Rattus norvegicus: one gene and its partners. The protein of the gene in region 5 interacts with the protein of the main gene of each other region in a biochemical or structural test. Links are inferred from orthologs where the notes say so. Each region holds a gene or a part of one and is shown on either strand. Other genes may lie near its edges.

The links.
Region 1: the proteins of Ube2d3 (region 5) and Rnf168 form a complex in vitro, tested with the Homo sapiens proteins (5 studies listed by BioGRID). The link is inferred for Rattus norvegicus from reciprocal best matches to the Homo sapiens genes UBE2D3 and RNF168.
Region 2: the proteins of Ube2d3 (region 5) and Trim63 form a complex in vitro, tested with the Homo sapiens proteins (5 studies listed by BioGRID). The link is inferred for Rattus norvegicus from reciprocal best matches to the Homo sapiens genes UBE2D3 and TRIM63.
Region 3: of the proteins of Ube2d3 (region 5) and Sqstm1, one has a biochemical effect on the other in vitro, tested with the Homo sapiens proteins (2 studies listed by BioGRID, with this or other methods). The link is inferred for Rattus norvegicus from reciprocal best matches to the Homo sapiens genes UBE2D3 and SQSTM1.
Region 4: the proteins of Ube2d3 (region 5) and Trim33 form a complex in vitro, tested with the Homo sapiens proteins (2 studies listed by BioGRID). The link is inferred for Rattus norvegicus from reciprocal best matches to the Homo sapiens genes UBE2D3 and TRIM33.
Region 6: the proteins of Ube2d3 (region 5) and Rnf14 form a complex in vitro, tested with the Homo sapiens proteins (2 studies listed by BioGRID, with this or other methods). The link is inferred for Rattus norvegicus from reciprocal best matches to the Homo sapiens genes UBE2D3 and RNF14.
Region 7: the proteins of Ube2d3 (region 5) and Rnf216 form a complex in vitro, tested with the Homo sapiens proteins (2 studies listed by BioGRID). The link is inferred for Rattus norvegicus from reciprocal best matches to the Homo sapiens genes UBE2D3 and RNF216.

Annotation. Positions count from the first base shown.
Region 1 is NC_086029.1:82,010,507-82,014,764, forward strand, and holds the start of Rnf168 (E3 ubiquitin-protein ligase RNF168), read right to left. Parts: upstream 2,801-4,258; 5' UTR 2,786-2,800; coding exon 2,479-2,785; intron 1-2,478. UniProt on the Homo sapiens protein: E3 ubiquitin-protein ligase required for accumulation of repair proteins to sites of DNA damage. Acts with UBE2N/UBC13 to amplify the RNF8-dependent histone ubiquitination.
Region 2 is NC_086023.1:151,815,996-151,820,035, forward strand, and holds the start of Trim63 (E3 ubiquitin-protein ligase TRIM63), read left to right. Parts: upstream 1-1,240; 5' UTR 1,241-1,330; coding exon 1,331-1,489; intron 1,490-2,495; coding exon 2,496-2,668; intron 2,669-4,040. UniProt on the Homo sapiens protein: E3 ubiquitin ligase. Mediates the ubiquitination and subsequent proteasomal degradation of CKM, GMEB1 and HIBADH.
Region 3 is NC_086028.1:35,034,951-35,039,170, forward strand, and holds the start of Sqstm1 (sequestosome-1), read right to left. Parts: upstream 2,801-4,220; 5' UTR 2,767-2,800; coding exon 2,568-2,766; intron 610-2,567; coding exon 514-609; intron 273-513; coding exon 46-272; intron 1-45. UniProt on the Homo sapiens protein: Molecular adapter required for selective macroautophagy (aggrephagy) by acting as a bridge between polyubiquitinated proteins and autophagosomes.
Region 4 is NC_086020.1:193,549,327-193,552,826, reverse strand, and holds part of Trim33 (E3 ubiquitin-protein ligase TRIM33), read right to left. Parts: intron 3,429-3,500; coding exon 3,311-3,428; intron 1,315-3,310; coding exon 1,040-1,314; intron 264-1,039; coding exon 99-263; intron 1-98. UniProt on the Homo sapiens protein: Acts as an E3 ubiquitin-protein ligase. Promotes SMAD4 ubiquitination, nuclear exclusion and degradation via the ubiquitin proteasome pathway. According to PubMed:16751102, does not promote a decrease in the level of endogenous SMAD4.
Region 5 is NC_086020.1:226,542,063-226,545,993, reverse strand, and holds the start of Ube2d3 (ubiquitin-conjugating enzyme E2 D3), read right to left. Parts: upstream 2,801-3,931; 5' UTR 2,528-2,800; coding exon 2,504-2,527; intron 1-2,503. UniProt on the Homo sapiens protein: Accepts ubiquitin from the E1 complex and catalyzes its covalent attachment to other proteins. In vitro catalyzes 'Lys-11'-, as well as 'Lys-48'-linked polyubiquitination.
Region 6 is NC_086036.1:30,400,845-30,404,101, forward strand, and holds part of Rnf14 (E3 ubiquitin-protein ligase RNF14), read left to right. Parts: intron 1-841; coding exon 842-972; intron 973-3,257. UniProt on the Homo sapiens protein: E3 ubiquitin-protein ligase that plays a key role in the RNF14-RNF25 translation quality control pathway, a pathway that takes place when a ribosome has stalled during translation, and which promotes ubiquitination and degradation of translation factors on stalled ribosomes.
Region 7 is NC_086030.1:16,567,100-16,571,172, reverse strand, and holds the start of Rnf216 (E3 ubiquitin-protein ligase RNF216), read right to left. Parts: upstream 2,801-4,073; 5' UTR 2,707-2,800; exon of another isoform or gene 2,642-2,706; intron 2,287-2,641; exon of another isoform or gene 2,147-2,286; intron 1-2,146.

The DNA of each region.
Region 1 (4,258 bases), on a different chromosome or scaffold from region 5:
GCACGTAGCACTCGCTTCTAGTCCTAGCTTGAGGACGAAGCAGGCAGACTGTTGTGAGTTCAGGCTAGGCTGGCCTGCATCTCTTTATCTCTTCAATTTAGACTCTGTCAATTTTCTTCCTGTTAGCCACTACTGCTATGACAAAACACCTCACATAACAACACCAGAGGGGAAAGGTTTAGTTTGGCTCATTCGGAAATTTACATTTATGGTTTTATGCAATTGTGAAAAGCCTTGGTAGAGCAGAGTTGCCCACTTCAACTGCAGTCAAGAAGCAAAGAAACACAGAGAGGAACCAGAACAACGTATACCTGTCAAAGGCATTTTCAGTGACCAGTGTTTCCTCCAGACAGGCCTCGCCTCCTAACAGCCCAGTTGGGATGAACTTATCAGTGGATTGATCCACTAATGAAATTAATGCTTTCCTAAGTAATGACAGCTTGAACAAAGCCTTCATCCCACACTACAATTTTTTAAAAATATTATTTAATGGATATGAGTACACCAGACACACCAGAATAGGGTATTACAGATGGTTGTGAGCCACCATGTGGTTGCTGGGAATTGAACTCAAGACCTCTGGAAGAGCAGTCAGTGCTCTTAACCACTGAGCCATTTCTCCAGCCCCCAGGAATCTTTTTTTGAGACAGGATCTTATTGTGTAGTCTTGGCTAAACTCCTGCTGAGCTTTTTTAAGTGCGTTTTTTCCCTGGTCAGTTATTTTTAAGAGGGTCTCACAAATTATCCCTGCCAGGCCTAGAATTTAGTGATCCTCTTGCTTCTATTTAGGCATTACTTTCTTTTTTCTTTTTTTTCTTTTTTTCTTTTTTCTTTTTTTTTTTTCGGAGCTGGGGACCGAACCCAGGGCCTTCCGCTTGCTAGGCAAGCGCTCTACCGCTGAGCTAAATCTCCAACCCCTAGGCATTACTTTCTTAACAAATATTTTCTTCCACTTTGTAGGCTCTTTTGACCTCTTGATATCTAATTTATCAATTGAACTTCTTTTTTTTTCTTTTCTTTTTTTTTGGAGCTGGGGACTGAACCCAGGGCCCACTGAGCTAAATCCCCAACCCTTGAACTTCTTTTAAGGGTAAGAATTTTCTGAGAGTTGGCTCAGTGGTTAAGGATGCCTACTCTTCTTTCAGGGTAAGCAGGTTTGGTTGGTTCCTAGTACTCCCATAGCAGCCTATAACGGTCTGCCCCTCAGTTCTAGGGATCTCGTGCCTCTTCTGCACTGCATGCACATGGTGCACATACACTCGCATACTCAATTAAATACATACTTAAAAGAGATCTCGGGGTTGGGGATTTAGCTCAGTGGTAGAGCGCTTGCCTAGGAAGCGCAAGGCCCTGGGTTCGGTCCCCAGCTCCAAAAGAAAAGAACCAAAAAAAAAAAAAAAAAAAAAAAAAAGAGATCTCAAGTTTTTCCTTCATGAGTATCTGCAGTTACTTAATTCTGCTACCTCCACAGATAGTTATTCTTAGGAAGGTAATAGTGATATTCTAAAGACGGGGGCTATTTAGTCATGGTTCATTGGCAGGCCACATCTGCCCTTACATTTCCTTTTCATAGTTTTATGGAAGCACAGGCTCTGCCTTCAATTACAAAGGGCAATGTAAATTAATGTATTGTCTACGGTGGCAGATATCACGGTCCTCAGTAGACTATACAGTCCACAAAATACTATTCTGCCCTTTACAGAAAAGGTTGCCAACCCTCACTAATTCTAAGAATAAAGCGCAGGTGTGTTCTCGAGTTGCTACAACTCCACTATGTGTGAGGCTAAGGCTAGCCCAAGCTACATAGTAATAAAACCTTGTCTCAAAACATGTCTAAAAAATGTTACCCAAAAAAAAAAAAAAAAAAAGCCCTAAATTCACAGTAGATGAACACAAGTTGACCATTATTACATGTGATAAAGTCTGTCCTTGACTTTAACGTCTGTGTGGGCAAGGCCTACAAAACCACAAATCCTCACGATTCAGACTACTTAGCCTTCTTTTTCTTTTCTTTTCTTTTTTTAATTAGAAAATGATGATTCGGGCTGGGGAGGTGGCTCAGTGGTTAAGAGCACTGACTGCTCTTCCAGAGGTCCTGAGTTCAATTCCCAGCAACCACATGGTGGCTCACAGCTACGGTATACTCATACACATTAAATAAATAATATTAAAAAAAGGCGGGGGGGGGGGGGTTTGGGGATTTAGCTCAGTGGTAGAGCGCTTGCCTAGCAAGCACAAGGCCCTAGGTTCGAAAAAAAGAAAGAAAGAAAAAAAAAAAAAAAAGAAAAGATGATGGTTCTAGCAGTGCGGTGGGGTCGAGTACATTTAATCCCATCACGCAGGAGGCAGACATAGGTAGATTTCTGAGTTCGGGGCTAGCTAGGGCTACACTGAGGAACCCTGTCTCGAGAAACAAAAATGGTTCCCTTTCTAAAAGATTTTGGATTTTACCCAATAAACATGTTTAATCTTACTTACCGATTTCCTTTGATTCTTGTCCAGAGATTCTAAGCTTGCATTCCTTTGCATAGTGCTTTTGAATAATCTCCCACAGGTCTGTATTGACCAGAGAATTTCTTCGGGTATGGTACCGAGTCCACGAAGAGACCCGGCGGCGACAGAAGGGACAGCATAAATTGGCCTTTTCAACAGTCGATTGGAAGCATGGGTTACAGAGCGTGTGGTTGCAAGGTAGGGTAACAGGCTCTACGAGGATTTCCATGCAGATCCCGCACTGACATTCCGCTAAGGAAGGGATGGAGTTTTTAGGTGCAGCCATCTTCATATGCTAATGTGGCCTACCCAACGTCAACAGCTGAAAGGAACAAAAGTCGTCTTTCGGCTAAGCACATAAAGTATGAAGAAAATCAGGAGCCTTCTGGCGTTTATTCTCACATACAGCAGCGTACTGAAATCCAGACGGCCTGAGTTTCCACAGGCCCGAGGCGAACAGGAGCTGTGATGTCAGGTAAACAGTTATGCCCTGCGTCCAGCAAGGGAATGAAAGAACGTTCCTCCCGGAGCGCGGAGGCCTCGGGGCGGAGAGGGGTTCTAGCTCCCCGCGCCACAGAAGGTCGCATCCAGCTCCCCTTCTTACTTAGTGGAGGACCCGCCTCTTTGCGCGAGGCCGCCGAGCCGGCCAGCACCGGAAGCCCGGAGACCGCCGCTCCAAGATCACCCGGAAACCGGGCTCGGGCCGCCGCTGGACTTCCGTGTCGCAGTTGCAGTGGAGGCAGCCCTCCAGTGCCCACGCTCCAGCTTCTGGCCGCCTCGCGGTTCCCCCGGGTCTCAAGACCCAGCGGCTCAGACTCGCTGTCAAGCCAGTCGATCTATTAGGCGCGGCCCGAGTAGGTACACAGGCGCTACAAATGTCACAACTCCCGCCAAAACTGTCTTCCTCCAAGGAACCGCCCATTTGGGCGGGACTTCCGGGAGCTGCTGTGCACTCGCGCTTGGCCTGCCAGTAGCAACTCCTCCCGCCTTTGGTGGTTCAGCCACTGTAGGTTGTAGAAATTTTGTTATTCGCTGGCTAAAAAGTAACTCTCTAAACCAAGATACAAACAATAATTTTTGTAATTATTCTTTTAGTATTTTTCGGGCTACCCTTCTGTTTTTCTCCCAACCAAGCTTTCTAAAGTTCTTAGTGCTAAAAGAAGAAATTGCAACAAATTTACTGTAAAGATTTTTGTTAGCATTTATTTGCAACACTAGCATTTTATAGAATGTGCTTTATGACAAGCAGATATTGGCTTTATAGACATGTGACGTTCAAGGAAAACAGCAACAAAAAGTTACACTGGAGGCTTCAAAGAATCTTGGAGGGTGGGGGGTAGGGGAGGGCTTTGGAGAAATGGCTCAATGGTTAAGGTCACCTACTGTTCTTCCAGAGGTCCTGAGTTCAAATCCCAGCAACCATATGGTGGCTCATAACCATCTGTAATGAGATCTAATGTCCTCTTCTGGTGTGTCTGAAGATAGCTACAGTGTACTTATATATAATAAATAAATCTTTAAAAAAAAGAATACTTGTTAAAGGTTAAAGTGGGGGTGATAATATCTTTATGGTACTGGCTAAAGCTCAGCAGTTTAGAGATTGGCTGTTATTGCTTCCCTCCTGGTTTTGGGGGTGTTTAGCTTTGGTCCTATACCCCAGACTTTAACATGAGTAAATGCCTATTGGGTTTGGTATGTTGAGTCTGAAGAGCTCAACAAAGAGACACATTTCTGTAATCTCAGCATTTGGGAAAGTAGCCACTAA
Region 2 (4,040 bases), on a different chromosome or scaffold from region 5:
TTGGGGGTGGGGGGGCAGATGTTTACAAAGCACGTTCCATGATAGCCAGGACCACACGAGCAACTCTGTCTCTTAAAACCTAAAAACCAAACCAAAACAAAAAACCCCATATTTTAATACCTGTTCTTTTGGGGTTTGTGGTGAGGGGTCGTGGTGGTGACTGGGGGTGTGTAGTGACATTATTTTGTTATTTTGTGATAGGGTCTCATATAGTCCAGGCTTGCTTTGAACTCCTGCCTCTGCCTTCTAAGTACTGGGGTTATTGGCATTTACCCATCATGCCCTGCTTTACCTTTTATTCCAAGACATGATATCACTATGTAGCTCATGGCCTTAAACTTTGGATCCTCCTGCCTCAGCCTCCTGAGGAGCTGGGAATATAGGCTGCAGATCACCCGCTCTTAGAACTCTGTTCACTCCTGTCTCCAGAGAACCCCATATTCCAATGCCCCGGAAGTTCTTCCTGGGACCCAAGAATGAACACATATGTAAAGAGTCCAGTGGAGCCTCCTGTATCCACAGGTGTCAGGGCAGGTTCTGAGGCAGCACAGGAAGTTCCTGTTTGTCTCTGGGCTGTGAGCATGGCAGTTCAGGGAAAACACAGGAACCTGGGAAGGCAAGTTGTCAGCCTTGGCGGCAAGCACCTTTACCCACTGAGCCATCGAGCTGGCCCTCATGAAACCCTTGTCAGCATGTAGTGTGATGATTGGCTGAGGGCTGTCAGGGTGGGCTGCCCAACATGGGAGTCTCAAAAGACTCTAGTGAAATGCTTGACTGGAGTCTGGGGCAGGAGAAAGCCCTTTCACAGAAGGGCTATCCCAAGGCCTTAGAGCTGTTCAGAATCCAGAAGGGGAACAGACTTAGGTTGGTACAGGGGCGCTGGCTGTTAATCTTGTGTATGCCAACCCCACCCCCCACCCAAGTTCCACTCCCTTACTCCCAATTCACTGGAGGGGCAGGAGGGTGGAGACCAACTTCTTCATGAAACTAGGGTACCTGGCCCTCCCCTGAACCTGGCTCTGAACAATCTGTTCTTGTTTACGACCCCCATTGCAGGGCAACAGCGATTGCTCACCCCTGCATGTGATCTGAGAGGGCCAAATCTTTGAGGCCTGGAGGAAACTCAAGCCCTGCCAGCCGCTTGGCTTCGGAATGCTCAGCTGGTCCCCTCCTGGGGCTCATGTGACTGAAGGGCAGCTATAAATATCAGAAGGGCCTCAGACCAAGACAGAAGCCGGGTGTTCGGGGAGGAAGACAAAGAGGATCCGAGTGGGATCCCTTCCACTCGGTGTGACGCAGGTGGAAGAGACAGTCGCAGTTTCGAAGCAATATGGATTATAAATCTGGCTTGATTCCGGACGGAAATGCTATGGAGAACCTGGAGAAGCAGCTCATCTGCCCCATCTGCCTTGAGATGTTTACCAAGCCTGTGGTCATCCTGCCCTGCCAGCACAACCTCTGCCGGAAGTGTGCCAACGACATCTTCCAGGTCAGCGCTAGGCAGGGCCGGGACCTGGAATCCCCCCCCACCCCGCGCCCCCCCCCAGACCTCCCGCGGCTTCTCAGAGGCCCTTCCCCTCTCAGCCTAGAACACTTGCTCCATTAAGAAGCCATTCAGAGACCCCTGGGAAGGACTAGGGCTGGAGGTAGAGAAGGGGCTAAGGGGAAAGGGGGAGCTACTCCAGTCCTTCCGCAGTGTACTCATCTAGTCCCCACCCTGGCCACAGCTCTCTCCTCTGCTGGGAGAGCTTGCTGTTGATTCCCCAGTCAAGAGTCAAATACCTCAAGTGATAAGAGGAGGAGGTGGGTAGAGAGGAGAGAGAAACCAGGCCCTGGGGCCGGAGCCAGCTCCAGGTGGCAGGGGGCCCAGACTTTGGGAGGCGGGTGGCAAGAGGAACGTAACCTCAGCAGCATCTCAGAGGCTGCGTCCTCCAACAGCGGGCGAAGGGGCCCCATCTTCTGAGGAGGGAAAGGGCACAGTTGAGGCAACGCACTGGGGAGAGCGTCCAGAAGGACGACAGGAAATGCTCTTCCAAACTCAGGTCTAGTTGCCTATTCCAATAATCTCACGTTCAGGAACCTGAGGCAGGAGGATTGCTAAGAGTTTAGGGTCAGTCTGTGCTACCTGATTAGTTTGAGATAACAAGATCCTGCCTTAAAAACAAAACAAAACAAAAAAATTTCCCTACAGTTATCTTTAAGGTAATATCCTAGGAGCTGGCTCTAATTCTAAGAAAGACCTGTGGTCTCCGTGGTAAACTGAGGCATAGCGAGATTATAGTTGCGCGTCTGAAGTCACACGACTTGAACTCATGTTGGCTGGTACTGAACCTCTTGCCTGTTTGAGTGCTTCAACCACGATGCTTCAGCACATGGTTGGGCTGGGCCAAGGCCAGGAGCCGGTGGGTGCCCTTTGGTTTGGCAAGTGTGTTTGGGGCAACTGGGGCAAGGAGAACTGAGACCGGAGAGGATGGGAACGCCCGCCTTTTCTGCAGGCTGCCAATCCCTACTGGACCAACCGCGGTGGCTCGGTGTCCATGTCTGGAGGTCGTTTCCGCTGCCCCTCGTGCCGCCATGAAGTGATCATGGACCGGCATGGGGTGTACGGTCTGCAGAGGAACCTGCTGGTGGAGAACATCATCGACATCTACAAGCAGGAATGCTCCAGGTCAGTGTGCAGCTGAAATGCCCCGCCTCCTGACCACGCCTCCTGACCGCGCCTCTCCCCAGACCCCTCCCACCTCAGCGAGCCACATTCATCAGCAGGCAGAGCCAACAACCTCTTCCTCAGACCAAACCTCAGCTCTTGAGTTTTGCGTATACGGGGAGCTAGAAAAAGAGTCCTGAGACTAGGGTGCAGGGGCGTGTGTGTGTGTGTGTGTGTGTGTGTGTGTGTTTGCGCTCATGGTAGAGATTGGACCTCATTAGGCTAGGGCTCTTCCACTGAACTACATCCCCAGAGCTTGCAGTTTTAAGATGGAGCCTTGACATATAGTGAAGGTTGGTATCAACTTGAGATCCTATTGTTTTTCAATCTCAGCTTTAAAATTTTATTTCTTTTATTTTGCTTACAAAGAAGGGTGTGTGTGTGTGTGTGTGTGTGTGTGTGTGTGTGTGTCTGTGAATACCAGAAGAGGGTACTGGCTCCCTGTATTAGTCAGGGTTCACTATAGAAAAATAACATATATTAATATATATGATCGATTGGAATGGCTTACAGGCTGTGTGTGGTCCAGCTAGTCCATAATGGCTATCTACCAACAGAAGGTCCAAAAATCCAGTGGCTGTGCAATCCACAAGGTTGGATGTCTCAGCTGGTCTTCATTATGTGCCAGAGTCCCCCAGAGAGTAGGCTCTAACGCCAGTGAAGGAACAGACTTGCTATTGAGAGCGAGAGCAGCAGGCCAATAGACAGCCCCCTTCCTCCATGTCCTCTCTATGGGCTGCCAGGACAAGGTGTGGCCCAGATTAGAAGTGGATCTAGATTAAAAGTGGGGCTTCCCACTTCAAATGATTTAATTAAGGAAAAACTCCCTGGCTAAGCAGTGGTGGTGTACACCTTTAATCCCAGCACTCAGGAGACAGAGGCAGATGGATCTCAGTGAATTTGAAGCCAGCCTGGTCTACAGAGCGAGTTCTAGGACAGCCAGGGCTACAAAGAGAAGAAACCCTGCCTCAACAAACAAACAAACCAACAAGCAAACCCAGCCACTTGGATTTTAGTTCATTACAGATGAATCAAGTGGACAAGATTCAGCTCTCCCAATCGCCCTGAAACCAGAACTGGGGTTACAGACAGCTACGAGCTGCCATGTGGGTGCTGGGAACCAAACCCAGGTCCTTTGCAGGAATAGTAAGTTCTCAACTGCTTTCCCCAGCCTTCACAGTGACTACCATATACCTCTTTGTTACATCGTGTCTCTTGTTGCTAGAACACAGCACTCCAAATGGACGTTGTTGAGCCCCAGGCACGGTGGCGTAGGCCCTGTGGTCCCAGCTACTAGGGAGTCTGAGGCAGGAGGATCTCAGTTTCAAGGTTC
Region 3 (4,220 bases), on a different chromosome or scaffold from region 5:
CCACCCTGTCCGACACCGCCCCAGGACTGCAGAGAACCAGCTCACATCAGAGAGGTGGCCAAAGGGGTTGGGAAAGATGAGCTTGCTGTGCTCCCTGTGCAGGCCCTTCCCCTCGCAGACGCTGCACAGGTCGTAGTCGGGGCACACACTGCACTTATAGCGAGTTCCCACCACAGGCCCATTGCAACCATCACAAATCACGTTGGGGTGCACCATGCTTCGTGCCTCCTGAGCACATGGGGGGCGATGTTCCCGCCGGCACTCCTTCTTCTCTGCAGGGAGAGTCCAAGAGTCCAATTTAGTTGCAGGTAAACCACTTAGGAGGCCAAGAGGTACCAAGCCCTGCTCTGTTCAACACCCATGGCCCACACAGCAGGACCTTTGTACCTCTGACACCTCCCAACCCCCCTATATCCACCCCAAGGCATCAGAACTCATCTCTGTCCTAGAGACAACTCAGACCCCTGAGCCTTAGAGGAAGTCCGATGGGAAGTACCTGGATGCAGTCTTTACCTTTAATGTAGATGCGGAAGATGTCATCTTTCACATAGGACATGGCCATTGTCAGTTCCTCATCACTGGAGAAGGCGACCAAGTCCCCATCCTCATCTAGATTGTTTAGGAAACAACATATCAGAGCCAGGGACACAGCTCATTGGTGGAGCGTGCAGAAGACTTAGGTGCCATTCCCAGAACTAGAAGCCGAAAGGGCAGCACAGGTACCCAGCATCTGCTGGATGCCCACTGCTATGTACAGGGAGCCCAATGGTAAGGGACATCTACAGAGGCTCTAGACGCAATCTGAGTGCTGGAGCAAGCAGCCAGATGGCCACTCATTCTGATATGGCGTGAGTACATGTTCTAACCCAAGTCCTAGATCCGGTACATGCACAAGGCAGAGCATATGTCATGTGTGTAAGGGTCCAGCTTCCTGCCACAAACCACTGGGCCATTTGTGCCCTCAGGCCACACGTAAGTAGGCCAGGTCCATTTTCACCTGGGAGATTCCAGCCAGTACCCTGTCCTGATGGTCCAGCCCTTCAAAGGCCTCAGGCTTCAGAAGGAAAGGAGGTAAGCCCATCTGTCCCCTCCCTTCAACTACGTGACCAGAAACCACTGTGCATTCAGACGCTGTCTAAGTTGTTCTGAGGTTGAGGTTGCTCTGTTGGTTTTGTTTTTGTCAATTCTAGGTTTTCTGCGCCCTGCCTGGCCTGAGACTGCTTAGAACAGGACAGCCTCCAACTTGTGTAGGTGAGCCTCCTTAGTGCTGGGATCACAAACATATGCAACCAAGCTGCCAAGTGGTTTGGGTTTTTTTGGGTTTTTTTTCTTTTTTGCCTTTTGATATTTACTTTTACATATGTATGTACGCACTTGAACACACAGACACACACACACACATACACACATGCACACTTATGTGTATGCATGTGCCACGAAGGCCATAAGAGGGTGTGGGATCCCCAGGAGCTGCAGTTGATATGAGCGCTAGGAACAGAACTTGGGTCCTCTGGAAGAGCAGCAAAGGCTTTAACCACTGAGTCATTTCTCAAACCCATCTGCTTTCATTTTTACATTAGCACACAGGTACTGGGAGCGCAGCCATATATTTCTATGTCAGTACAAACAGTCTTCAACCACCTCATACAGGACAAACCACACATCTGCAGGCTAGGATATATATATATATATACATATATGTGTGTGTGTGTGTGTGTGTGTGTGTGTGTATCAGGCTAGGCTATACACACACACACGTAAAATTTATAAAAAAAAAAAAGATTCTAAACCGAATGTGATAATAGTTATATAACTCACTTTTTAAAAAATGCAAGGAGTTTGGGGGGCGGGGTGGTAGCTCAGTCAGTCGAGAGCCTAACATACATGAGGCCCTAGCACAAAGATGACTCGGAAGGACATTAAGACCTGGGTGAATTGTACTGGACCTAGGTTAAAACTCACTTACACTGAACATTTTTTGTCCAGAATAATCCCTATGATTCCTGCACTGGAAAGCTGAGACAAGAGGATTGAAGTGAGGCCAGCCTAAACCACTCGTAAATTCAAGGCGAATCAGGCTACGTGGCTTTATCTCAGAAAAGAGACAGACTGATCAACCAACCTGGCCTACCCACAGTCCTCCATAAAGAGATCTCAATCTTATCCCCTCCCAGGGGGAGGGCCTTGTCCACTAGTCTCTTGTCAACAACTTCTAGCTCCACCCCATGCAGCCATCAACCACTGCAACGCAAGAGACGGAGCTAGTTCCGGGGTCCCCTACCTCCCTTCCCACGGGCTGCCCCACCCCGCCCCCGCCGCTTATTTACCCGCGTCACTGCTCTCCACCCCTCCTCCACATCTGCCCGGTCCCAGCTCTTCCGGGCCTTTAACTGAACCCATCACCTGATGATACGAGGAGCAAGCGAACCGCGGGATGTCAGCTGTAACCTGAGCGGCCGCCTGACCACCCTGTCCCCGCGGGCAGCCAGAGGACACGCCATCGCGTCCTCGCCCAGACCTGATACTCCGCGGCGGGGGAGGATGGCTTCCCCGCCCCGAGCCCTTACCGCGGTAGTGCGCCTGAAAGCCTCCAGGCCGCAGCGCGGGGAACAGCACAGCCACCCGGCTCAGCAGCCTCTCGCAGGGCCCCGGGCCAGCCGCGGCTTCCGCCTCCGGCTCCGGGCTGAAGCAGAAGCTGAAGCGGCGGATCTCGCGGGCCGCCTCCTCCTTGCCCAGTAGATAGGCCTTCACCGTGAGCGAAGCCATAACCGCAGACTAGGTACGGAGGAAACAGCTGGGCAGCGGCGGCTCCGAGAGCCCAGCTTTTATAGGATACGGGGGGAGCCCCGCCTCGTGGGGGGCGGAACCTCTCTGAGCTCCGCCCCTCCCCGCTGTCCGGGCGGCCGCTCGAGGGCCCTTGATAGGACCCCTGACAGGTATGGGGGCGAGACGCCCCCACCGCCTCCTCTTTTTCTTTCCCTCCGAATGCATGGGTGACCCCAAGAGACCAGCCTCAGTCTCAGTTCGATGGGAAAAGGGCCGGTAAGTATCCGAGCCTAGGCTCCTCCCAGGTTTGGGCCTGCTTATGACTCAGCAGTGTAGTCCCCAAGCCAAGGGGGATGGATGCCCCAGCACAGAGGCTCAGACGACACAGATGCCTACTGTCAGGTAGCCATTCCTTGGCCAAACAAGCTGTTTCACGGGATACTGTTCCAACCCTCCCAAACTTAGTGTCCCCCGTAGTAGCCCTCCACCCTACTCTCTCTTCAGGCATCCACCATGACCAGCCCCTCACTGAATAAAGGGACATCATCCATATGTTAGGCCTGATCCAATTTGACAAAGACTGGATGTTGGACTAGCACTGGTGACTTCTCACAAACCCACCCTGTAGGAGGGGTAGCCAGGGCTCCAGAAACTGCAATAGTCACCACTACTAAGACTGAGATTCCTCACAACAACCCACATAATACACACACACACACACACACACACACACACACACACACCACAGCACACAGGCTCTAAGGGCGGAGGGGAAGGAGCATGTATCTCAGGCCTTAGTGGCTTCAAAGAGCACAAAGGAATCAGACCACTTGCCCTCCAACTAGGAACTAAAATACAGGCTTTAGCCAGTCCTGTGACACAGACTTGTTATCCCAGCTGTTTGAGATGCTGAGGCAAGAGAATACCAAGTTCAGGGTCTGCCTGAGCAGCTTGGTGAAGCTGTTTCAAACTAGAAAGTGATCTGAGTACTTGGGAGGCCAGAGGTTCCGGAGTTCAAAGCCAGCCTTGGCTACAAGAAGCCTCTCAAAAAAAGGGGGGGGGGGGGCAAAATAAAGAGGCTGTCTATGCAGTTTAGTTAGGATACAACTCATGGGGATTTAGCTTAGCATGGATATACTCAGGGAGATTTAGCTTAGTAGGGATACAGGTCATGGGAATTTAGCTTAGCATGGATATACCCAGGGGGATTTTAGCTTAGTAGGGACACAGTTCATGAGGATTTAGCTTAGCATGGATATACCCAGGGGGACACCACTAATGGGGATTTGGTGCATAAGGATTTGGTGCTCAGTGACAGAGTACCTGCCTGGTATATGTCACATCTTAGGTTCAACCCTCAGCACGAAGGCCAAAACCAGGAAATGCTGCTTTCTGTGGCAAAAGTGACCTGTTAGCTAGCATGATGACACACATCTGTAATCCCAGCACTTGGG
Region 4 (3,500 bases), about 33 Mb from region 5:
TAAATATCAAAGACCCTCATGAACCATTCTAATTATGAACACATGATCGCTTTAGTTTTAAAATCGTGTGACTCTTACAAATGTAACTCTAGGCATACTTGTCTTTGGAGATGTGGCTGCATCATGGAGTACTGAGGGCCACTGTGCCTGGGTATCCCGGGTATTCTGGCAGCATTCTGCGCCAGTCTCATCTGATGGGCCTGAAATGCTCCACAGTTCATGTTGCCTCTTTGCATTGTTTGCACACTGATCAATCTTGGAGGCTGTAAAAAGGAGAACGTTTAATTCATATAATATTTCCTTTTTTCTTTGTTTGTTTGTTTGTTTGTTTTGAGACAGGCTTTCTCTTTGTAGCTGTCCTGGAACTCACTATGTAGACCAGGCTATTCTCAAGCTCACAGATCCACTTGCCTTTGCTTCCCATGTTCTGGGATTAAAGGAAATGTACCAACCATACCCAGCAGACATATTTCTACAAATTTATTGCTCAATCATAAAATGCTAAAGTAATAGTAATTCAGAACAGAATGGTGTAAGTATTAAGTATTATTAAGGGTACAGTATTAAGCCATATTCGTTTTTTCAACCCCAATTCTTACAGAACTGATAATTGCTATAAAAAGTCACTCCAAATTTTTTCTAGCTACCCTTTCTGGGAGGGAGAGGGAGGAAGGGATGAAATGGGGGTCAACATTAACTCATCTCATTGTGGAATTAACAACATTGATTGTGAAGCAGGACATAAACACCAAAGGAAAGAATAATTGCAGCAAATGCCTAATGCATCAGAGCTTAGAAACAATCTTGTTCTTTGGCTCACAACTATATGTGTTATGTGTGGGCATGTATTATGGGAAGGGGCAAAATGTCATTGCTTCCCATGATCTTACTTATTAACACCTTTATTATTCAAATTTTCTCCATATTTCTGACCTTTGAACTTCACCTAGTAACTCATATTGTGTAATTCATGAGCACAGAATGATGTGTAGATTTGTGATCTTAATTTCTATCATTAATGGAAGGGCACAGTGCTTACCTGTTGTTGTAACATCTGTGGGGCTGCCTGCCTAGGATGCTGCTGTGTTGTTGTTGTTGTTGTTGGTACAGGAGCTGGTGGCTGTTGCAATCTCATCTGTTGTAACTGCTGATGTTTCTGTGCATACACTTGTTGCTGCATGTGCTGGAGTCGAAGCTGTGCTAAATTAATCTGTCCAGGGGTTTTACTAATGTGGTTTGTCCCTGGAGGAACTTGCCCAACTACAACATTAGGAGTATAACCAGGAGCTGGTTTACTCTCTATTACTAGATTACCTGAGGGTTTAAAAAAATAAGAAGGATTTACAAATAATCAACTTAATTGCCCACTTCAAAGATGAATCACTATCTTTTCCTCCTTCTGACAATTAGCACCTCAGAGCATCCAACAGCACATCACAAATGAGAGCTAGGTTTAATGATGCTAATTAGAAACGCAACAGATTCCAAAGCCCCTTGAACCCTCCCACAAATAAGCTGATCATTCACAATACACTATCTGTTCTTAGTTAGACCTGTGTGGGTGTGATGTATGTGTGCATTTGCTTTTTTTTGGAGGGGCTTGGATGGTTGTGGGCATGCAGAACAGTGCCCATGTGGAGGTCAGAGGACAACCTTTGGATGTCAGTCCTCACCTTTCCAGCTAGTTTGAGGCACGGTGTCTTTGCTGCTGCATAACCCAGGCTAGCTGGCTGGAGACTGAAAGAGATATTATTAGAGGAAGGATCCAGTCAGTCTGAACCAATTCTTCCATGACAAAGACTCCAGGATATATTCAGGATGGCTGTTACTGATTCTATCTGCTTTCTTTTTCCCTTTCTTCCTTCCATCGTTCCTTCCTTCCGTTTCTTTCTTTCTAAATGTGTACAGGTGTTTTGACTATATATGTCTGTGCACCAATATATTCCTGGTTCTCAGAAGAGATCAGAAGAGGCTACCAGATCCCTTGGAATTGGAGTTACAGATAATTGTGAGCTGTCATGGGTGCTGAGTAATAAATCTGGGTCCTCTAAAGGGTAGGCAGTACTTTTAGCCACTGAGCCATCTCTCCATCTGCTTTCAAACTGCCAATGTTAAGGGTGAAGTAATACCCAGCTACCAAATAATTTCCTATGGAAATTCTGAATACTTTAAAACACTTATACCTTTAAACTGGCCCTTCCTTTTTATCTGGTCATGTCCCTTTCTTTTTACACAGTCATTTTCTTTGAGGTAATATTGGCAGGCCACAAAGAAAAAATCCTGTTGCAAATAATGATTTTTATAAAAAACTTTTTGGAAATGAAGTACAAAATGAAATGCACACACACACACACACACACACACTCTCTCTCTCTCTCTCTCTCTCTCTCTCTCTCTCTCTTACATTCTCTACCAACACCACCCCTCATCTAGTAAGCCAAACAACAGTGATTTTCCAGTGCTACATCTAAAGTCAAAATTGAGTATCTTTTTTCTATTTATCCAAAGAATGTTATTTTTAAACAGTAAAATTCAAATCTCAAGGGCATGATTACCTTCAATGTGAAGGCCAATGGATGGCAGATTTCATTCTGAGTCATTTTACTTAAGAGACAGGGTCTTAAACTGACAGGCTCGAGCAGCACTGCCTCAATCTCCTTGTAGTAGCTAAAGTACAAAGTCGCTTGCTTGGCTTTTTGTTTACCTCTACCACCCTCAGCCATGGTCGTTAGGTCAGTGATATGGAGAGACAAAAGCAAAGTCTATTTCTTTATCAAGTGAAAAGAACGGCTTTTGTCTAACATTCCTTAGAATGTGGCTATAACACCTCAGTGAACCCAAGTTCCTTCTCGACTCAACCACTTGGTATAATTAAACTATGGAGCATCTAAGTAACTAGTCAGAGAATCATCATTACTAAGTCAGTATTAATTCTGAAAAAGAAGGTAGAAATGGACCACAAGGAAAAGCACTCTACAAGAGTGAGGAGTAAGTAGAGAGCATTGTTTAACATGCTGGAACACAGGGTTCAAGCCCTAGCACCAAGACCTAAAGAAACAGCCTAGACATAGTTTCCAATGCCTAACACGTTTCTTAAATCATTCACATCTTTTTTTTTTTTTTTCTCCCCCGGAGCTGAGGACCGAACCCAGGGCCTTGCACTTGCTAGGCAAGCGCTCTACCACTGAGCTAAATCCCCAACCCCAAATCATTCACATCTTAAAGTTTAAAAACTGTATCAAGAATCTGCTAAAATGGTTTCTCCTCTCAGCTTTATAGTTCAAATAATACTCACAAAATGATTTCTCACCTAAATTCACGACATTTTTGGCCCAGAATGTGGGGTCACAGTGGAAACGAATTGCTCCATTGGCAGCAGGGACAGGATCACATCGTGCTTTCAAAATATGACGTAACTGAAAAGTAATCTTCAAGGGAAAAAATTTACAGTGGTATTAAAATTAAATGTTAGTTGAAGAAGCATACTAGAGATATTTTTA
Region 5 (3,931 bases):
AAAGTCCCCCAATTATGTAACAGTCATTCTGCTTTGTAGCAGTAAATTTTCTTAAAGTTCCAAAAACACAGATTTGGAATTCAGCTGCTAAAATACCCATTTAATAACAGCACCATACTACAATTTAGTCCAAATAATTACAAACACAGCAAAAGAATACACGTATGGTTGTTTGGTGAGCTAAGAAACAGTCAAGCAAACACACAAAAGAAAAAAAAAGATAAAAGTATCAACTTATACCCATTTATCACTAAAGCTCAGTTGCATTTTAATAAAAATAGTAATGGCTTGTTAACACTTGTTTAGGGGGAACCAGAAGAATAAATTCTAAACAGGGAACAATACAAAAAAACCTCATGACAATACTGCCTTAAGAAGAAAAGGATCCTCCTTCTGTACTTTCACAAACTATTCCTGCATCTGGGTGCCATTTTTTAAGTTGCTTCATGGTTCTGACAGTATCTGAAGGAAAAACCATGATATGCTGGAATACCCTACAGGTAGAAGCATCAGCCATTTGGCATATAAACAGTTTTCGAATATAAAAAATTTACCTCTTAATATCCATACATAATTCTTTAAACTTGCAAAAATATGTTTTCTCTTGCCATCCCAGTAGCTAGAAAAATTCCTAGTACAGATTAGGCAAATTGATAAACTTGCTTAGAGTCTGATTCTATCTCATGTTTTTTACTACAAATGTTTACACTTAACCATTACTGCCTCGCTAGAGCTTTTAAGTCATTAAAATGTTGCCAAAACAGCTGAGTATCACCTGTAAAAAGAAAAAAAATCAGTAAGACCTCCCTTTAAAATGTTCGTTTTACACTATGGATCTGAAATTTGATTAACACTGAATGATATAGTTTCTGTATTAATTATGCTATAAAGCACAATAATGCATCTCTAATGTGAGGTTCACCCTCAAAATTGTCACACTAAGTGGTAATTTTAATGTTATCTATTATCTATTTGAAGTCTTGAATTCTAAGGTTTTCTTTCTCTTTCCATTATCATCAAGAATACAAACAGTTCAGTTAAGTGTTTTGCATAAAACCACAAAGATTACCAGGATGTCCTAAGAATTCAAGATTCAACAACAATATATTCAGGTAAGAATTAACTTTTCAGAAACTACAGCTTTTTCCAATCAAGCTGATCAAGATATATATATGTATATATATATATATATACACACACGCACACATATATATATATAATATAAAATAACTACAAATACAGTAGTATTAGACCTATAGTCAATCCAAGTCCTCGCCTTTCCACAGAACTCTTTAAAAACTGTGCTAAGTCAAAGTTTCTAATACCGAACCTTCCCATTTTGTCTTTTCTATTAGGACTGAGTTTACTCCACATTTTTTTTCAAGTTGGCTGTAAATACTCCACCCTCTCGATTGTGAAAGAACCAAATACAAAATACACACACACACACACACACACACACACACACACACACACACACACACAGAAACTTAGTCTGAGAGTTTGAATTTAGGTTTAGTCTTGGGAGCAGAGGCTCTGAGAGCTCCCTACAACCGGATTAAAAAAACTAACGCTTAACAGAGACCATTATCTTATAGTTAGAAAAGGAGATGCCGGGAAGAGCCTGAGCCAGTTAAAGCAGCCGCCATCTTAAAATGCGGGATAGAAGTTAGAGCAAGAAAACGAGACAAAAACCACCAGAGAAGTGGCTCCACTTACACTGTATTTCTGGAAAAATCGTAGCTCTTTCCAAATTAAAGCAACGACTTATCAAATTCTAGTGAATTGCTCAAACAAGCCTCCTTAAGGAAGGGGGTTCTAAGCAAAGCAGTCCTCCATCCAGTTTCCCTGCACTGTCAAACACCCCCAACCCCGGAATCTTTCAGAAGGCTTTTACATATAGGTTCCTGGTGCCTCAGATACATAGCTTTGGGTGAAAGCAGCGACCACACAACACAGGAAGTGGCAACAGTGTCGGTCCACCTCCTCCCAACCCCACATACTCTTGTGTAACTGCCCAGATTTGGTTAAGCTTCTGAACAGACTTCGTCACCGCATTTTAGCAAACTGAGGTATGTTTGTCATACCCCGACTCTCAGTCAAGTTTGGAACAAAACGTCTTTCAACTGTTACATTCCTTTCTTTAGAATGCCTATAGCCTTAATAGCTAAAATGTTTTGAAGAACCTAGAATAGGAAGCAGTGCCATGGCATCTGCCGAGGCCTGTACATAATTCTACTCCCCAAACCTGACTCTTAGGCAAAAAACTGAGGAGACTAAATAAATGCCACGCTCCCTCACCCATACTAGCAGATTCTAGTGAAACAAACATTTCGCTTGCCAAAACCATTCCGTTCCCTATCTTACAGCTCATTTCAAAGTGCCCCTGCCTTCTCTTACCCCATGTAAGGTATTTTCAGAATCCAACTCTCCAGGCTTTTCTCTGGGCACCAAGCCTTTCTTCCCGCGACCCCATCCGCAACATTTAGTCCCAACAACTTACCTTATTAATCCGTTTCAGCGCCATAGTCTGTGCTTTTCGCCGGGCTTCTCACTATCCCGATGTGTACTCAAAGGTCCGGCCAAAACTCTTGATTATCCCGGCGGCGGGGAAGGATTCTCTCTTCTTCTCACACCGGCTCTGCCAGACACAGGCGCCTTTTGCAAAAACGGAGCAGATCAGCCACTCGCCAAGGCCTCAGAGGAACCCTGCTGATTCCAGAACCCTGAAAACCGTCGCGATCCGGGCAGGGTGGGGTGGCAGAGCCACCAGCTACTTATATCCGCGCTTCGCCCAGAGAGGGCGAGGGTGACGGGAAGAGCCGAGAGGTGGTTACAAGTTTAACTTCCCGGCCTCTTGAAAGGAAGAGCCCCGGGTGGGAGAGGAAGAGGCGGAGGAGAAAGGGGTGGGTGCGGGGCAGGGTCCAGAGCCCGGCAGAGGAGGAGCCCGGGCCTAGTCGGCGCTAGGCCGGCGTCACTAGGGCAAAGAAAGGCAAGGGGGAGGGGAGCGGGAGGCTCCGGACCGACGCCGGGCTTCTTTCGGTTTCTGCTTCGAGGGTCGGCGAGCCAGCAGAAGGCAATTAGACTCGCGTGTGCTGTTGTCCCCACAGCTAGAGCTGTTCTGGGTCGCCCCTGACACCACCGTACTCTCCGCCTCACGGCGCGCTCCTGCGTGCGCGCGCCCAGCCACCTCTCCACGCGCCCGGCGGCCGCGGAGCTCCGGCGCGAGGACGCGCCCATGCCCCCTCCCCCTTCAGCCGGGCCCGGGCTCCGCCGGCCTTCCCATCCTACCCCACCCAGCCCCGAGGGCTGCCCACTCGGGCCGCCCACAGCCCGGGGCGCCGCGCCGGCCCCGGCCCGTCTCCCTCCCCTTTCCCGAGCTGTCCACACCCACGCGTACAGAGGGCCGGGGCCTCCCTCGAGCTGCGGCCTCGGCCTCCTCCCCGCGCGGCAGCTGGTGCCTCCCCGGCCCTACGGGGCTCACGCGCACGGCACAGCCACAAGATGTCCGCTCTGACGGAACTACTGCCAGCTGCCACGCTCCGCCCCTCCCCCTCTCCCCCCGCCTATTCACCGCCGCGTATCCGTCCGCCAACGCCGCCGTCGCGAGCGCAGGGCGAGCTGAGGGTTGAAGGGGAGCGGTTTGCCTCCCTCGTCCAGGCCGAGTGGACGCGCCACCCTCTTGCCGTCTCCCTGTCCGAACAGCACCTTCTTACTAAACCGATCGGAGGTCGGACCGGGAGGGCGGGGGACGGAGGCGGGTCATGGGCTGAGGGGGAGGGTAGACGAGTGGCGGAAACCCTTAGACTCAGAGAAGCATCGAGAACCGGAAGGAGACCTTAGGAGGAAGGTAATGGAAGCGGCAGCTGCGCGGTTGAGGCCCCACGCCCCTCCCTACTGTGGCCCCCCGTTTCCTCACTTGGGATGGAGG
Region 6 (3,257 bases), on a different chromosome or scaffold from region 5:
GGGTTTGGTCTCCAGTACAACAAACTAGACATACATGACAAAAGTCAAATAGTCCCCTTCACTCTTTGTAGAATGGATACCAAGAGTCCTTGATTTGGGAGGTGGGGGCAGGAAAATCAGAGGTTTAAAGTCACCTGTAGCTGTGTAGCAAGTTCAAGGCCAACATAGATTCATGAGATTTTAAAATCTGTAAAACATGGCCTTCCATTTGGTTTTATTTTTCTCATCGTGTACATTGTTTTTACTGAAACTGATGGTAATTCGTAATTCCTTAGAGCGTCATTAAGGAGAGCTGTGTCATGTTTGTCACTTCTGACATGCTTGAGCCCCGTGGTAGTATAAAATATGCCTCTGCTTATGCCACTAGTTTTGATTGGTGTAGAAATTTAGAACTCAGGCCCAGCCTGTAGTCCCAGCCATTTGGGAAGCTGAAGCAAGAGGATTGCCAGTGAACAACTTAGACCCAGTCTTAAAAGTGAATAGTAGAAAAGGAAAGGGATATAGCTTATGGTAGAATGCTTGCCTGGCATGTGTCTATCTCTGGTGCTGAAAATAAAGTAACGTTTTAATTAATCTGCTTATGTGTTCCTCTCCTATGTGTCACTTGTGTCTATTTACAAGAGAGATTTTGCCAAGTATGTAGTTATAGGAAGACCTGCTCGATATTTCTGTATTTTACCTGCAATGCAAAGTTGTAAGCGTAAGTGGCTGTCACTGTTGCCTGTGCAGCAGTCCTCCTTGAGAAAGGACAAAAAACCAGGGGAAGTGCACTGTGTGTTTTCCGGCACATGTATTCTGCTTTTACCACCATGATACTGTTCTTGTCTCTCCTTCCCACCAGAAATTAGACGGCTGCAACAAGATGACCTGTACTGGCTGTATGCAGTATTTCTGCTGGGTTTGCATGGGCTCTCTCTCAAGAGCAAACCCTTACAAACATTTCACTGATCCTGATTCTCCATGCTTTAACAGGTTTGTACACATAGGGTTCCTTAAGACTTAGCAGGTAAAAAAACTCAGGTGTGCCTGCATGAGGACATGTATATGCACAGGTGTACCCTGGATAGGCAGAGACCCAAGAGGGTTTCTGTCAGAGTTGAAGCTAGAAGTACAGATTGTTTGCAGGATGCCTGTTTTGTCACATGAGAACTGGGATCCGAACTCCTGTCCTCATGAATGAACAGCATTCTTGACCACTGAACCATCTTCCTAGCCCATCCGGAATGTTTTGATGCCAGTATGCAGGCTGGTTTATTTTCTGAATACCAGTTTTTTTTTTTTTTTTTCTAAAGTAGCTAGACTTGGAGAACTTTTTTCCCACATGTGATTTTTAAGTCTTCTTGAAAATGGGTAAAATTTTATTTTTTACTTTTTATCCTCACCTTAAAAAAAATTATACTTAGCTGGGCAGTAGTGGACACTCCTTTAATCCCAGTACTTGGAAAGGCCAAAGCAGGCAGATTGCTGAATTCAAGGCTAACCGGGTCTATAGAGTGAGTTCCAAGACAGCCAGGCTGTAAAGAGGAACCTTGCCTGGGAGGGTGGAGGGGATATGTTTATGGGTGTTTTGCTTGCATGTGCGTCTTATATTACATGTATGCCTGGTGCTCACAGAGTATGGAAAAGCATGTTGTGTCCCTTGGTACTGAAGTTAAAGATAGTTGTGAAGCCACTATTTACGTAGTGCTAGGAATCAAACCCAGGACTTCTGGAAGAGTAGCTGTGCTCTTAACAGTTGTACCATCTCTCCACCCCTACACCTACCCGTCATTTTTAATGACAAAGCATATGTGATATAGGCTGGTCTAGGATTTTAAAACTGTTTTAAATTATTTGTGTGGGAGGGTTTGGGTGTTGGCGTGTTGGTGTTGGTGCACGTGTGAGGTCAGGACAGCTTTCAGTACTTGTTACCTGCTTCTGCCACCTTCCCCTGGGAATCTAACTCAGGGCAGGCACCTCTGTCTGATGGGCCCTGGGGCTCGCCCTGGCTTGGAAGTCTCAGTACTCCTTTTTTTGTTTGTTTGTTTTTTGTTTGCTTGTTTTTCAAGACAAGGTTTCTCAGTGTAGCCTCATGTGTCCTGAAACTTATTCCGTAGTCCAGGCTAGCCTCGAACTCAGAGATCTGCCTGCCTTTACTCCACACTGAGCTTAGTTCTCCTTTTATGGTAAAAGTTTTCTAGCGTGTAGAAAGGTTGAGAGACTATAGCTGTGACTGGTGTGAGTAAACAGTGAACAGTACACTGACTTACTCTCTCTACTGTCTCAGAGAGGCATTGCTAAACTGCTTGAGGGTGAATTATGGCAATGCTTCCACTCTGTTACTTCATTATATATCCTAAATTTAGAAAATGCCTGTAAGACTGAGGGTGTAGTTCAATGCTTAGCATGTGTAGGAGCTTTGAGTTTAATCCCCTTCCCACACCCAGCTCCCCAAAACCAGAATGTTTCTATGCAATGATAGTACTTTAAAAGTGAATGGTGGCCAGGCATGGTGGTGCCCACCTTTAATTGTAACTTTCAGGAGGCAGAAACAGGAGGAGGATCTCTGAGTTTGAAGCTGGCCTGGTCTACATAGTGAGTTCCAGGACAGCCAGTGCGTCATAGAGAGACCTTTTCTCTTTTCTTTTTTCTTTTTTCTTTTTTTTTTTTTTTTTTCGGAGCTGGGGACCGAACCCAGGGCCTTCCGCTTGCTAGGCAAGCGCTCTACCACTGAGCTAAATCCCCAACCAGAGAGACCTTTTCTCAAAATAAATAACTAAGTGTGATATATACTATCTTGTTTTGATATATATCAAAACATATTTAAGACTTCCATTCATCGGGATAGCAAGATGGCTCAGCAGGTAAAGGCACTTGCTGCTCATGATCTGATGACCTGAGTTAGAGCCCTAGAACCAATATGAAGGTAGTTTAAATATCCTCTGACCTCTACATGTGCACCTCCAACTGCACAGCACATACTAATCTTAAAAACAACACACCTTCCTCTTAGCATTCAGAATATCTATTACCGTCAGTTAAGGAGCCAGGATCTAGTCAGCTTCAGTCTGGTTGTTTTTCTTTTTCTTTTTTCTCTTTTTTCTTTTTTTAAATCATTTCTTTACTTTATGTATAGGAGTACACTGTAGCTGTCTTCAGACACACCAGAAGAGGGCATCAGATCCCATTACAGATGGTTGTGAGCCACCATGTGGTTTCTGGGATTTGAACTCAGGACCTCTGGAAGAGCAGTCAGTGCTCTTAACCACTGGGCCGTC
Region 7 (4,073 bases), on a different chromosome or scaffold from region 5:
ATGGGCTGGACCTAACCCCTCCCTATATGGAGCAGGTGTGCAGCTTGGTCTTCATGGAAGTCTCTCAAAACTGGACTGGGGGCTTACCCTGACACTATGGCCTCCATGTGGATACGGCTTCCCTAACTGGGCTGTCTTGTCTGGCCTCAGTGAGAGAGGATACATCTAGTCCTGCAGTGACTTGAAGTGCCAAGGTGGGTTTCTTGGGAGGAACCTCCCCCTTCTTGGACTTCGAGGGGGTGAGATCAGGATGTAAAGGGAATAAATAAATTAATGGGAAAATAATCTAGCCATTGGATAGCTCACACCCATGCTCATGTAAATGGCCCTGGCTAAACTCAGTGGATTACAAAAAAAAAACCCAACCAAACAAACAAACATCATGACTGTGGGAATGGAAATTGTGTGTGTGTGTGTGTGTGTGTGTGTGTGTGTGTGTGTGTGTGTTTAATGGGATAAGAGTCATTAATACATTATACATGAAACTGTCAAAGAATAAATGTAATTTAAAACTTTTAAATTGTGTAACTGAGTGACCTTTGTATCAAGTTATTTTTCAGCATCTCCCTTCCCCCTGACCCACAACAAAAGCTATTAGAGAACCTACGTTATTGACAAGTCTAAGGAGAGTTATATCTAGCACTTAGCACCAAGTTGTGTGCAGCTAAGGCTGCTGCATGAGCTCAATAGGTTAAGGGCACTTGCTGCAAACCTGACAGACAGCATGAGTGGCACTGTCTGGACCCGTACAGCAGAAGAAAACCAACTTCCAAAAGCCGTCCTCTGACCACAAGTGCCCTTAAGTGTCCATATACACAGGGAATGTTTCTTTAATCGTTTATTTTTACTTATGCACATTGGTGCTTTATCTGCATGTGTGTCTGTATAAGGGTGTAGGATCCCTGGAACCAGAATTACAGTTAGTTGTAAGCTGCCATGTGGGTGTTGGGAATTGAACCTAAGTCCTCTGGAAGAACAGCCCCTGCTCAGGAGGCAGAGGCAGGAGTACAAAACCAGTCTGGTCTACAAAGGGAGTCAGCCAAGGCTCTGTTACAGAGAAACCCTACCTCAAACAAACAAACAAACAGCTTTGTGCAGATAAAATCTGGAGAATAGTAAACACAGAAACCATTACCTCACACAGCAAATTTCATAAACTTTCAATCTCCCCGAGCCACAACTTTATTAGATTTCTCAAGAACTTTTCACTAGCTGCTCTTGTCCTTTTTAGATAAAAGTTCACGCTAATGCAACAGGTTCACAGGTATCCAAATCCAGGCTCAAGAGCCTCAGCCATTTCCTCAAGTTCACCACCCTTCCCTAGACAGTTTATTGGGATACAAACAGAATGCAAGGCTTGGAAATCTCATAATTCGGATAAGCTAAACAAAGGTCATAAAAATACTGTCCCTCCCTCCCTCCAGGCAAGGACAAGCCCCTTCTCTGTATATGTTAAGATAACAAGCAGGTGGAGCTCTCATAAAGTCACCATCCATGGTGGGGTTGAAACTTGGCCCTCAAGCAGATGTTTCGGAGCACACAGGCTCCAATACATAATCCTTCACCCCTGCACTGTACAAAAACCCAATAAATCCACTAGAGTCACCCAAACAACCAAACCAAACCAAACCAAACCAAAATCCAGCAAGGGCGTGTGTGGAGCTCGGGGTAGAGCAGCTGTTGGGTAGGAGAAAAACGTTGAGCAAGGTGACACAGGCCTTCAATCCCTACAATCAGGAGGCAGAAGCAAGCGGACATCTGAGCTCCAGGCTAGCAAGGGTTACAGTTAGAATCTATCTTAAAATAACAATAACAACATAATGGTAGGACAAGGTGACCTACACTGGGCCAGAGGCATGCAAATTCCTGAGTCCCTTGGGGCCAGCCTTATCTACTTTTCAGGTTGCAGGCTAACCTCCGATATGCAGTAAAATTCTTTAACAAAAAAAAAAAAAAAAGGAAAAGAAAAGAAAGGAAGAAACGAAACCAAGACAAACGCCAGCAGAGATGGCTTCCAAGACAGTCAACACAATGGAGGAGAGGGTCCCAGGTCATTGCACCCCTTAGAAAGCCAGGGAGTTTGGGATGACCGATGAGCCCCACAAGGGGCCGCCTCGTCCACTCCAGCGTGGGTCTTGCCGCTCACCCAAGGTGCCACGCGCCACGGGAGCGCTCTCTCCACCGCGCACCAGGACGCCCGACTGCAGGAGTTTCGAGTCCCTTTTGCTCCGGAGCGCTGATTGGGATGACAGGCGTCAACTTGGACTCCAAGGGGCCCAAACTGGCCCGGGCTGGAGTTCAAAGTCAACAGTTCGCCGCCTCTTCCGCTTCTCCAGGCCGCGGTGGGGAGTGCGGCCACAGCGAGCCGCCAGCGAACCGTCTCTCAGTGGCTCGACGCCCCCCGCGCAGCAGGCCGGCCCGAGAAACTTCCTTAAGTGGCGGGAGGGGAGCCGGCAGGCCAGCGGTCGTCTGCGTCGCTCCTCTCCCGACACCCCCTGCGCGGACCCCCGGACCCCCGGGGCTCGCGAACGCGTCCCCCTCAGCCCCCGCCCCCACCCCAGTGGCGCCCCGGCGGGAGGCCACTCTCCTCGCTCGACCCGCAGCCCCCGGGAGACGACGCGCGCGCCCGCCCATCACGTACTCGCCACGCAGCTAGTCCAGCTCCGCGAGCGGGGCTCGACGCCCGGGAGTTCAATCTCAAGTCACCTGAAGCATCCGCTCGAAAAGCTTCCCCGCTGCTACAGCCGCCACTGCCAATGCTGTCGTCGCCGCCGCCGCTGCCGCCGAGGCCGCTACTGCGTTCCTTCCGGCCTTGCTTCAGCGTCTACCTCGCGCCTGCGCGCAGCGCCCCCTCCCGACTAATGACAGGAAGAACCATAGAGGCACGCGGAGAGCCGGGGAGGAGGGACCTGGAGAGCGAGACCATAGAGATGGATGCCTAGCTGGCTTCCATCTAGGCTCCACAGCTGCAGAGCCTTGACTCCCACTTGCGGTGGGAAGACAAAAGGGGTCACTGTATCCTCTCCAGGCTGCAAGGCCAGCTAGCGATGAAATCAACTGATAGACCACTTGTCTATCTCCTCTTGAGGTGGTGTTGTGTACCAGGTGAGACAGGTAAAATGACCCAACTCTCCTCCAAGGGTATTTGGTGAGGAATAAAGCATTCTTCAATCCAATTCAAGCTCTGTTAAATCAAGGCGGGAGAGCTGGCTCAGTGGAGCCACTCTTATTTAAGAACTGTTGTGTATGTTTGTGTGTATGTGTCTATGGTGTGTGTGTGTATGAACGTTGTATGTGTGTTATGAGTGTGCTCGTGTGTGTATATGTGTATATGGTATGTGTGTGTGTACTTTGTGTCAGTGCTTGTGTGTATATGAGTGTGTATGCTTTGTGTATCTGTCTATGTTGATGTGTTTTGGTATATGTGTGTGTGACCCAAATTTAGTTCATGGGACCCTCACTGCAGCTTACAATGTTCCGTAATTTCATTCTAGAAGATCCTCTATGATCTCCTCTGTGGGCACTGAGCATGCAAATTGTGCACCGCTATATATGCAGGCAAAACACTCATACACATAAAATCAAAGTAAAAAATAGAAATTAATTTTTTTTTTAGTCAGGCAGTGGTGGCCCACTACTTTAATCCCAGCACTTGGGAGGCAGAGGCACTTGTAAGCTCAGAATAGCCAGGGATACACAGAGAAATCCTGTCTCAAAAAAATTTTTTTAAATAAAAAACCCTTAAGGCTCTGTGTGTGTGTGTGTGTGTGTGTGTGTGTATGTGTGTGTATGCGCGCGCTTTCATGCATACACACTCATGTGTATGGTTGTGTATGTATGTATGTGTATGTATGATGAATCTGTGTGGTCTGTCTGGGCTTCAGTATGTTGTATATGTATGAGTGTGTGTGCTTGTGTATATATGTGTATATGTTGTATATGTTTGTGTGTGTTTATGGTGTGAGTGTATGTTGTATATGTATGAGTGTGTGGTATGCTTCTGTGTGTGAGTGTGTATATGGTATGTGTGTGTAGTCTGCTTGTGTGTATGTATATATGGTGTGTGTGTGTAT